3 linked regions of the Drosophila melanogaster genome follow. Changing the gene in region 2 together with the main gene of any one other region gives a genetic interaction. Each region holds a gene or a part of one and is shown on either strand. Other genes may lie near its edges.

Region 1 (3,753 bases), 230 kb from region 2:
TAAGACAGCGACCACGACCGAAAACCGAAAACAGAAAACCAAAAAAACCGGATTCCAAGCCGAGAAGGAGCGAAAAAGACGGCGAGAGCGACCACTGGCCACTGGCACTGGCTACAAGTGAACTGGTTTACAAAGAAAAGAAACAGAAATGAAAGAAACATGTGAAAAATCACGATCTATAAAGCCGATGCACTTAATACCCTAGGCAAAATAAGTAAATAATACTATAGATCAAACTAGAGTAGACTTGTTGAAAAAAAAACACTGGAATAAATAAGAAGCTTATAAACTATCAGCTTATTAAACTAAGTTTGCCTAAATTTCGTAAAATATATTTTTAAAACCTAACGCGATGCTTTGAAATTCTGTAAAATTAAAGTTTTTCAGAAATGTAACGTTATTAACACCGATTAATATTTTTAAATAATATTTTACAAATTGTGTACACCATTTTCAAACGAAGTACCCTTACCAAGAGCACCCATAAGAGACCCCCAGAATTCCAAGCGAAGGTTTTTCGAGTCCGGCTCGAACCGACCAACTCGAACTGAGCGCCACAGCAACAACAATGGGGCAAGCGGGTGGTTCAGGATGGTGGGGAAGTTTGCGGGGGGATGGGGGACGTACTCCACCGTGGACTGTGCGGCACCACACTGAGTTCAGTGGCAATGACAGTGGCACATGCAGTTGTAGTGGAAGCCGCTTGTCGGTCGACAGTCCGCCAACCGCCAACGTTGTTGCGCTCTCTTTCCTGTTTTTTCGCCCCGTCTCATTCTATTTGTGGAGCAGGTTTTGAGATATATCTTGGGTCTTTCTCTCTCTCTCCTTCTCTGTCTGCGTACTCGTTATATTTTTGTACTCGCTGCCTTTTTGGCCAACGCAAAAAATACCAAAATAAAAAAATAATAAACGTAATTAGCTAGCCCTACGCCACAAACAGAAAACAAAAAAAAAAACAACAAAAAATAAAACAAGTAAAAATAAGTGGTGTGGAATTTTTGTGTTCATCTGGGAAGGCAGGGCCTGTTCTCGGCGGAATCTTACCTGTGGGTTAAACAGAAGAAAGCCCCAGGCTCTTTGGGCTTTATCTTTGCGTCCTAAAGTATCCAAGTAGTTGTTTCAATATGATTTTGCTGGTTTTTTGTCAGTTTGTAAGCTTTGAAATGCTTGGCATTGTTTTTGGTTTTTAAAGTAGTAATTTATATCATTTAAGTGGCACTTGAATTGTATGTTGTTTTTTCTTGTTGTATTTGTTTGAAGACTTCTGTTAATACGATTCTGTGAATTTAAAAGTAAATAATTTTATTAAAATTTTCAAAATATTTGTCGGAAATTTTTTGTTATATTTTCAGGTTTGATTTTAATTTTAACAAGTATTTCACCGAATCATTCTCAAGTAAATGTATTTAAAAAAACACGCACACTAAGGGACAATTTTGAGATTCAAATCACGGCACGATCGCCCCAGGGGGTGGGGCTGAGGGGGCGGCAGGGGGGCGGTTACGGGAGCAGCAGCAGCATCAACGGCAGTCAGCTACCACAAACCACGTAGTTTTTTTCCTTCCAAAATCCACGTACAACTCGCGCACAAACACACGATGTATTTGTATCTCACAGATATGAAAACCGAACGAAGAAAAACCCGAACCGAAACCTCAACCTCAACGAACTGAAAACCGAACGAGAACGAGAGATACACGGCAGCTGAAATGTGTTTTTCTACATTTTGTTTGAAATAGGAGCTGAAGCCAGTGCAGCTACCAATTCGCTCCTCAAGTAGTCCCAAACTCTTCCCACACACAGAGTCAGTTGCAGTTGAAAAGCGCTTTTCTCGAGGCAACTGGCGATGCAACAAGTTCACTCACACACACACACACACTAGCGCTCTGGGCCCGCTCAATAAGATACATCGGCGGCGAAAGATACAGATAGATATAGAGCGAGAGGCACTCACAATGCAGTTCACTTTTCCAACAGCTATTACCAGCGATCCGCGCGCAGGTGCGTTGGCCACGATCAACTCTCGAAGACTGAGCCACGAACCCAAGAAACAGGGCCCGAATGGAAAAAGAGAGAATCGAGAGAATCGCGGGCTGAGAAATGCGTAGAAAGAGACAAGCGACGAGTAGCGAGCAGTGGCACTAAAACCAGCTTAGTGCACTGTGGAAAAAGTTTTAACAATTCTTAAATATCTGAAGAGTAAGGCTCTAATTTTCTGTAAATAACAACAGTATAAATCTATCTGCTTAAATATACTAGATAAATAATGGATGCATTTACATATTTTTCTGAATTAACTAGTAACTTATATTCAGTTTGAATATAGTACGACATTTCTTTCAGTGGAGGAGAGGAATTAAACCGAACTCAACCCAAACCCAACCGGCCGCCAGTCGCACGCTGCTAAATGGACGGATGGGCCCGTGGACGGACTTATATGGAGACTGGCACTGGCGGAGCGTGGAACGTGCATTCGTACGACGAGTTATTGTCAGTTAGAGCGCTACCTGTTTACCGACCGACTACCGACTACCACCGACTGCTTTTTTTTTTTTGGCCCAGTCGAGAGGGTAGGGTACAATTGGCCCGGGTGTTGCCAGATTGCCGTTGCTGCTGCTGCCCATGGATCGTTATGGTGGCTTCACCCGAAAAGGAGGAGGAGGGTGTAACTCTGGTAGTTCCCTGTTTATTGTTATGCCTTTTTAGTGGGGGTGTATTTTGTTCTTCGGCTTTTGTTGCGGTTTCATTTAGGGGAATGACTAATCAGAAAGCATTTTTAGGGAGGCAAGGTGATAAGGTTTCTTCGAAGAAGGGGTTGCCAAGTCGAAAGTTGGGGTGAAATAAAGTGCATTACTCACACGACTATATATCTATATTATGACAAGTTCCAATGTTCTACTGATAAGTAAATATTTATTTGGAATAATTAGTTGGTAGCTTTAGGGAAAAATATTTATACATATGTATTTAAATATACACTGATGATTAATCGGCAGCCGAGTTATACAATTCATTTATGGAAATAGGTCGTAAAACAATATAAGTCTAGAAACCATCTTATCGCCAGACTGACTTTTATTAATGGTAATTAGTCCTTATAAAAGAAGGCGAGCACGGGAACTTGGAAAAAAATAAAACATAGGTAAATGATTGATTCGAGCTAGGCTATGTAAATAGGTCTTATATTATTATAATAGACTGTAAAATTTCTATTCTAACAATCTGGCAACCTCTGCTCGCAATGCAGCATCAATGCGGTCAAGTGGTAAAAGAAAAGACGTTAACAAAAAGACCAAAAATCAGCTAGGGTCCCAAAAGTAGAGGGAGTTACGTTTCGGCCACGACGGTGATCATGGTCGTAATGATTCCGAGATGCAGAAAAGAAAAACCCGAAAAGTACCCAACAAAAGAGAGTCCGTAGCCATGTAATTAAGGTGCTGCACAGTGGAACTAAATTGTGGCTGCTGCCACTGCAAAAACAGTAAGTGGAAATGGAGATACAAAGCGGCAACAGGCAGAAGACCAGAAATAAGTGGTAGAAAAGAGAAGACGGAAAAACGGTAGCTGCCTCATAGGGCGAGCGAATTGTTATGCTAGTCGTCGTCGACTTCCCCCATCAACAACTGTTGCTCTTGCTGCACTCGGAAAATAATTTTCAGCATATATAAATAACAATAAGTAAATAAGAAATAAAATAAATAATTACCATAATTGGTCTCCCTTATAATTGGATTCCACAATACATAAAATTGA
Region 2 (3,753 bases):
CTCCTTTTCGAGTTTGCTGATTGGCCATTTAAAATATGCAAATTTGATCCGAAAAACAATAAGACAGATGGACACAGATGGAGTGAAACAAAAGCGAGGCGGACAGAGATGAAGCCATCAAAGTGGAGTTGCCAACGGATTGCACTTAAAAATGCCCAAAAGCAGTCGAAAATAATTTGTTAAGCTTTATGGACAGGCGAAAACTTAATTAAAAACAATCCTTTTCTGGCGCACCTAATTAAAAACACTGGGTGTTAAGTTAATGAAGTTTCTTGCTGAATGAACGACACAGTTTTTCAGATTTCATTGAGAAATCGTAAAAGATAAACAGATATGGTGAGGCACAAAAGATAAACAGACCATCAATATGGTGTTTTTGTAGTATTATTTTTTCGGGTCTAAAGAGGCCACACAAGCAGAAGAGCGACAACAAAGGCGGAGGCGGCAAAGCCAAAGGAAATGCGAGAAAAAAGTTTCTCAGGCCCTGAAAACAAAATGGAGCTCCACAAAAAAAGAAGATAAATACACTAAAAATTGAGCACTGCGTAATACGGTTGCTCTGCTCTGCCACTGGTTTTTATATTTGGCCTCTCGCTCGCTCGCAAAACGGGTTAAGAAGCAGTTAAAAAGGGGGTGAGCGAGCGAGACGGCGCGAAAGAGTGGGACAGACAGAGCGCCGCCCAAAGCCACGCCCACATCTATAAAAATATACACAGGTATAAGTGAAAGAAAGTTACCTTTTTAGCCAAACAGCAGCTAGAAAGACAGAGAAGAAGTCCGAGGAAATCCAAAGAAATCGCAAGCTTATTACAGCCCGCATTATCCAGCACACCTTTCACTCATTAGTCGCCTAAACTTAATTGAAATGTTGGCTTACTTAAGCTTAATTAACAGTCAACTCAGGTAACGCCTTCGAAACCACTCAACTCAGGTAGCCTTCTCTCGCTCGCTCACTCTCCAGTTTTCTCAGTTCGCTCTTTAGCTCATTTTCCTCCGACCAATCAGCTGAAACACTCAAAACTCGTTCTCCGCGACCCAAACAGTGCGTGGGAAAGGGACAGCCAACCGAGAGAGGGCTGTAAAAAAGAGGGTAACCAAAAAAAGGAAAACAGAAAAAGTTCAACCCATCAAGCTGAAGTTTTCGATCGTAACTTTGCAGTTGACTCTCGCGCACAGAAGCGTTCGGAAGTGAAATATATTTTATTAATAATATTACCCAACACAGTGCTACCAAACAGAAATTGCATACAATTTGTGTCTTGCCAAATAGCAAACGGAATTTCGTGCTTTCGCAATAGGTAAGTGACGCCATTTTGTGACTTTTACGCTTGGCTTCCGTTAGAAGAGACGCCATTTTGTGGCTTCCGTTTGCCAGCTTCTGTACTTACGCATAAGAACTTAGGGCGAGCGAAAGGGATGGCTAGCGAGCGCTGCGCATGAGCAGTAGCTTCGGCTACCGGTCTTCGTTTTGCTTCGTTTCTCTTCGGATGACTCACACACACTTACACACACTCACACAGTGCCACCGAATTGAGTAACAGACAGGGACAGAGCGATGATCTCGCTTCCTCAACTTGCCAGCAGCGACGCCGGCAGCGACGCCGACAGAGGACGGCGGCAGAGGCGACTACTATTTCTTTCAGTTATTAGTAGCATTCATTCATTCAACTTTGTGCCGCTCGAGCGTGCGTATATAGTTCCCTCTCATCAGTAACAGTATCAGTAACAACATCAGTAACATTTCCTTCGCGAGTACCTTCAAAAGAGATACAAATCGATCTATCCATTCAGCGGACATACGAAAATCGCACAAAACTCAGCTATAGAAATCGGTTAGCCTCTACTCGAGTCCGAAGAACGCGTAACTCCAGTGCATCCCATTGGGTAAGTCTTTCTTCAGCTCCTCTCTTCAATGGCGTTCTTCGTGTTCTTCTGTTCGTCGTTCTTCCCCCTTCCACACTTGTTTCGCTACCAGTTTTACGCCGCTTTCATTGGACAACTGAAAACTGAGCAAAGAAAAGAAGAAGTAAACCCCACACGTAACACGGGTGCGTGTATCGGCCTCTCTTTCTGCCCGGGCCTCTCACTTCGGCTCTTTAGTGTGCCAGAGGGAGAGGGGCGATGCGTCTAATATGGCATGCGTGTGGCCAACGGAGCTTTTCGGCCTCTGTGTGCGTGAGAAAGTGTCGCCATTTGCCAAAATGGCGGACGCCAAGTCCGAATATTTCCCTATTGGACTGTAAAAAGTTTTTACCCGCACTTCTTGACACGAATTCCCCAAAATGGGTGATCTACTTGAAATACAACCGAGTTTATTGATCTCTCATTGTATAGTACAAATGTGTTATTAATTTCCGAAATGAATGAAGAAGAAATAATTTGTATCTCATAAAAAAATGCTCATTAATTTTCGAAAAGAAAACTATTTAATATTATTTTCTATTAAAGTTGGTCTAAAAAAACATTTGAGCTCTCTTCAGAACAAATATAAGTTTTTATTGTATCCTAAACTTTCAACCTGTTCTATTTTTAAAGGTTTCAGTCGTTTTCCATTGAAATTGTCTAGGAATTGAAAACTCTTAAAGCCGTCGGCATTTTTTCAGATTGAAAGAATAGAAGCTGAGAAGTTTAATGAGTCAGCATTAAGAACAAAAAGCCTAGTTTGTCGAAGGTTGATCGCGGACGCACAAAACACGGCAAATCATCGCCAAGAATGTTTGGCATATCATCATCAGCCGTTTTGGTACAAGTTATTTGCCTATGAGTCATGGAGTTGTGCTTTTTTCATTGGATTATGAAATACCAATGAGTACGGCTCAAGCTAACAACAGATGTTCAAAAAGTTGCGTCAAAGTCAGGTACTTTGAAATACCTGAGATTTGGCACTTGTGCGAAAATTCCAATGAATCTGGTGCGAAATCGCAGAAATCAGAACCCATATTCTAGGGGAACTTTCTGGAAGTAGGACTAACATTTACAATATAGGGAAATTCGTTTAACATAGTTATACTGAAGTAAAGTTGTTGTAAGAGTTTCGTGACCTCTGAAATTCTTACTGCTTTCCCGCGACCATTTCTTTCCCGTCTGTCTGATCTTTGACCTCGTCTGGACCTCCCGCTGCGCTCCATCAATTAGAGTCTAATTAGCTAAGCGATTACGGTAAATGGGCTCAGCTGGCAGCTAATCTGCGCCGACTTTTGAGCAACTGTCATATCTTACGGGCTGAAGGTGAGAAGCGTCCGAAATCGACTTGCTTCGGCCACGAAATTCCCATCCGATTTGCGATGGATCTAGGGAAGATCGCTCATACCTTGCCGCATTGTATCTTTGTATCTTGTGGTGTGTTTGTGTTTGGGGTTACGAAGGTATTCCTTTGTTCGCACTGAAGTGGCAGTGCCACACATCCTAATTGTTTCCACCGACTTATTGGTTCTGTTGTCAGGCCAGGATCTCGTGTGTGTGGGTGTTTTTCCCGGGAATTCTGCGCCATTAGCACAATTAGATTCGTATCAAATGGACTTCGGTGCCTTTGTCTTCAGAGCCTTATGTCCTTTTATTGTCATTTTTTCTCGCTTCGGTTTCTTCTTTTCACTTTTCGGTTGTAATTTTTAATGGCACCTTGCCAACTCACTGTCCGCCTCCTACAAAAAATAAAGGGATGACCACGGTGCGAGGTGAAAGAAGTGTGGTAATCGCTTTCGACCATATCCCACGTCCTGCGACGTGTGTGTCACTGCTTTGAGCCCTTTTTTT
Region 3 (3,753 bases), on a different chromosome or scaffold from region 2:
CTCACCTGCCTGGGACGCTGGCGATTGAAGCGATCACCCGCCGAGGGATGATAGTTGCCACCGCAGGGATTGGCCCACTCCAGGGCGGTGGTGTTCTCGTCGAAGTTGCGATAGTCGATCCAGTTGCTGTTCCGCTTTCTGTGGCGCTTGCGCGGACTAGCGGCGCTGGCAGGGATCGTGCCCTGATTGGGATGCTGAGCTGAAGCCGTACTGGAGGTGGTGCGAATGCGCAGGCGCTCGCTATCGATAACCGTTAGACCGCCGCTGCTGGTGGTGCTGCGCCCCTCGGCGAGGTGGGGCAACTGGGCGGCAAGGAGCAGGACGAGTAGGATGGGCAGGAGCAGGAGCAGCGGACGAGCCATCGCCGCATGGTAGCCACTTTCTCTTCTGCGCCGGAATCCGTTACCGCTACCGCTACCGCTTCCGCTGATGTTTCCGTTTCCGTTGCCGGCTGCCGTGGTGCTGTTTTTAGCTGTGGTCGCAGCGCACTGCCAACCAACTACTGTCCGCGGTCCGTATCGAAATCAGTGTGCAGATACAGCGAACGGGGTTACAATATATATATATAGGATATATGTGAAGGGTGGGGATGGGGGGTCAGAAGGGAAGAGATGTGGAGAAAAAACACTATGAGTATCGAGAATGCAAAAGTAAATTCAATTTTCTGCTACAACGCGCGACGACCAACGATCAACTGCTATCACTGTTCCTCCCTGACTAGATGGTTAACTAACTGGACTCCCTTGGGAGTGGATGGGTTACTGGGTGGGATTGGGTGGTCGGGTGCTTCGATGCTGGAGCTCTGAGGTGATCGGGATTACGGGTCGGATGATCGGCCGAGCCTCCTTCAATGCGAATGCAACTGCAACCAGACAACAGTCTCAACAATTTGGTTCGATTTTTTTAACATTTTCTCTATGTTTGTTTTGCGGTTTTTTTTGCTTTTCGTTGTTTTTTTTTTTTTGTCTTTTCCAGAGCGATATGTGTGTATATTGAGGGCGGGGAAACTTTTTAATTTAGACAATTAACTCGAGAGTAGCCTGAGCGAATAACGAAGACGTATCGATCCAAGTTTCGAGGATCTAATCTTCTCCAGGCGACAAATCTCTGCCTTCTGGCTTGGCTTGGCTTTAACTTCCAGTGTGTGAAAGTGTATGGAAACTTTTGAGGTTGAATTTTGGATTTGGGGCTAATTCTAAAATTTGAACATTTCAAATTCTCCATTCAAGTTAGCTACTTTATCTGACAGGATTAAAATTCGAGACTGAAGATCGTTTGCTGCTAAAAACGAACGGAAAGGATTCGCACAAGTAACAATATCCTGAATGGATTTGCATTTTAATGCAGAGCGAATTAATTAAACTATATAATTTAATCCTAATTCCCAAAATTGCAGTTGCTGTCACAGAATGTCCTTTTTGCTTAACAGTAGATCGTTGGTCGTTTCTTGTTGATAAGTCACTTGAAGAGTGGAGAATTGATATTGACCAAAATATCCTTTTCGATCGCTTCTCCACTCTCCAATTGTGCCTGCTCTTAAGTCTTGATCAAATTAAAAATAATACACACACCGCATTATAGATGAAAAATGGAATCGTTCAGGATCCTCGCGGGATCCCCGTGGTTTGTGCTGCGCCTGAGCTCCCAAAAGTCTGTACGTTAATCCAAATGTTCGATGATCGTTCGAGATTCGTTGTTCGTTGATTTTCCGGCGGTTTTCAATGGACACACTTGCAGCACAACACTCGCAAAAAAATGTATTTATATATAATATTTGTGAGACCACTTGACCACAGATCGAGTTCAAATCCGTGCTTCAGTTTGTGTTCTGATTTGGTGATTTCGATGCTTTGGAGACTGATTCGCGGACACTTCTGCTCGCGTTCGAGTGTGAAACCGAACTGAGCCCAAAGTCGCGCTGGATTTGACCAGCTTTCTTCGCTGAGAGGCTGCGGATACCAGATACCAGAATACCAGAGCGATACCGACCGACCACCGACCAACCGACCGACCGATGAGCAGCGCCAAAAGGCCGAAACCGAAACTGAAATGGGAACTGAGGCGAGCTGAGCGGCCTCTGCCGGCGTCGCTGCCCGCCGAGTGCCGACGAGCGGTACGCCATGGTCCGAGCCAGAAGAAGACCGCCGATTCGGACCGATCAGATTCAGATCCGAAGAACCGCAGGCTGTCCCGCTCCCGCGCCCGCTCTCACCGATCGTATTCGGGGTATCCTATTCCCAGGTCACCTGCACGTGTGTGCGTATGCGCCTACCTGGCCGAAGTGTGTATTGGTGCCGTCTTTGAGCCTGCCAACCGGCTGTCCTCGCGCGCCATCCCGCTCGCTCCTGCGGACCAGGGCGATCTTGGGCCGGTCGCCATTGCAACTGGAATTTTCCCACTTGCCCAATCCGCGTCACTCACTCAAAGAGCGGGAAAAGAAGAGAGGCAGCCTACCTGGTGCCCCAAAAGACCAGGCCTACCTGGCTCTGTCTCACTCTTCTAAGCCCGGTCAGCTAGGTCCTCTCTCTCTCTCCCTCTCTCAAACTCTCTGGGTGACCTTGAGCGGCCTGCTCACCCCTCCCAAAAAGTCCTGACATTCAAATCGGTCTAGAAAGTGATCAACGGAAATGACCAACATAACACCGCTATTCAGCTCGCTAATCCAGGTAAACTATCCATTCGAGAACTATCCACGAGGAACGTTAACCAATATTACATTTTCTTCAACTTTTTCTAACAACTAGTAAATTGCTATATATTTTGTATATTAAAATTAATTTAGTAATTATAAGGAATAAAGCGTAAAATAGGATAAAGCACTAAGGAATCAACCAATTGTGCAGTTACAATTCTTCTCAATACCAGTAGTAATATATATAATAATACATAATATATACATTTTTATAGTAATATTATTTATACGTGTTCGAACCACAATCAATATAACTGAAGTAGTGATTTTGGCACTCACAATCTATTATATATGTATATACCATTCAAATTCATTTGACATGATTCAAGTTGTTTAAATGAAGTTAATAATATACATATATATGCCTAAATCTGTTCGTATGGGTAATTAATTAATAAAGATTTACATAAAAATCGTAAAACATTAAGTTGTTTCATCATTTTTTGATACATTTATAACTCACCTCAAATTATTTATTTTGATAATCGCAGCGCTGATATTTGACCATCTCGATGAGTTCGGCTTGATATTGTCGCAATTCCGCTTTGGGTGGGTAACTAGAAGAAGAGTGTGAAATCTCTGGCCAGTGGGCCAGGTACTCCCAACTGGCGAACCCCCGGACGCCCATCTACCTAGGACATCCCTATGTCAAATATGCCCATATTTCTCCCTACTTTCGAGGGCTTGCACAATTGACGGTCTAATTAAATTGAGAGTTTTGCTGCATTATGGCCGCATTGTTTTGGGCAGCCGAAAACAGCTGTAGATGGTCAGATAGCGGGCCGAAACGGACAGCGGACGGTGTGTCCTTGCGTCTAACCGTAAGTGCAGCGTGCAGCAACTGCTGCAGGAAGCAGTTGTGTTGCGCAGCGGGGCCACTCGCCTTTATTTCGCCGCAAGGCAGGACGGACGCACAGGACTCGAATCTCGCAGGACCCACAACCCACAGAGAGGGACTCGCTCGCATATATCACATATATCAAGGTGGCAGCGCACACCTTTTGTGCGACCTCTCCTTTGGGAAACGGGCGGCAAGGCACAAAAAGGGCAATTCGCACCCG

What was found.
Region 1: of drm (region 2) and bowl, changing one suppresses a phenotype caused by changing the other (phenotypic suppression), as found in Drosophila melanogaster (one study listed by BioGRID).
Region 3: of drm (region 2) and upd1, changing one suppresses a phenotype caused by changing the other (phenotypic suppression), as found in Drosophila melanogaster (one study listed by BioGRID).

The regions. Positions count from the first base shown.
Region 1 is NT_033779.5:3,769,986-3,773,738, reverse strand, and holds the start of bowl (brother of odd with entrails limited), read right to left. Parts: upstream 2,040-3,753; 5' UTR 1,866-2,039; intron 1,820-1,865; exon of another isoform or gene 1,724-1,819; intron 1,714-1,723; exon of another isoform or gene 1,423-1,713; intron 1,279-1,422; 5' UTR 1,045-1,278; intron 1-1,044. UniProt on the Drosophila melanogaster protein: Putative transcription factor. Required for leg joint formation, acting downstream of Notch to pattern the leg tarsal segments. Functions in the terminal pathway during embryogenesis, acting downstream of tll in the posterior of the embryo.
Region 2 is NT_033779.5:3,538,094-3,541,846, forward strand, and holds the start of drm (drumstick), read left to right. Parts: upstream 1-1,639; 5' UTR 1,640-1,884; intron 1,885-3,753. UniProt on the Drosophila melanogaster protein: Putative transcription factor. May function redundantly with odd and sob in leg joint formation during the larval stages, acting downstream of Notch activation.
Region 3 is NC_004354.4:18,307,238-18,310,990, forward strand, and holds the start of upd1 (unpaired 1), read right to left. Parts: upstream 2,055-3,753; 5' UTR 1,572-2,054; intron 1,023-1,571; exon of another isoform or gene 500-1,022; 5' UTR 363-499; coding exon 6-362; intron 1-5.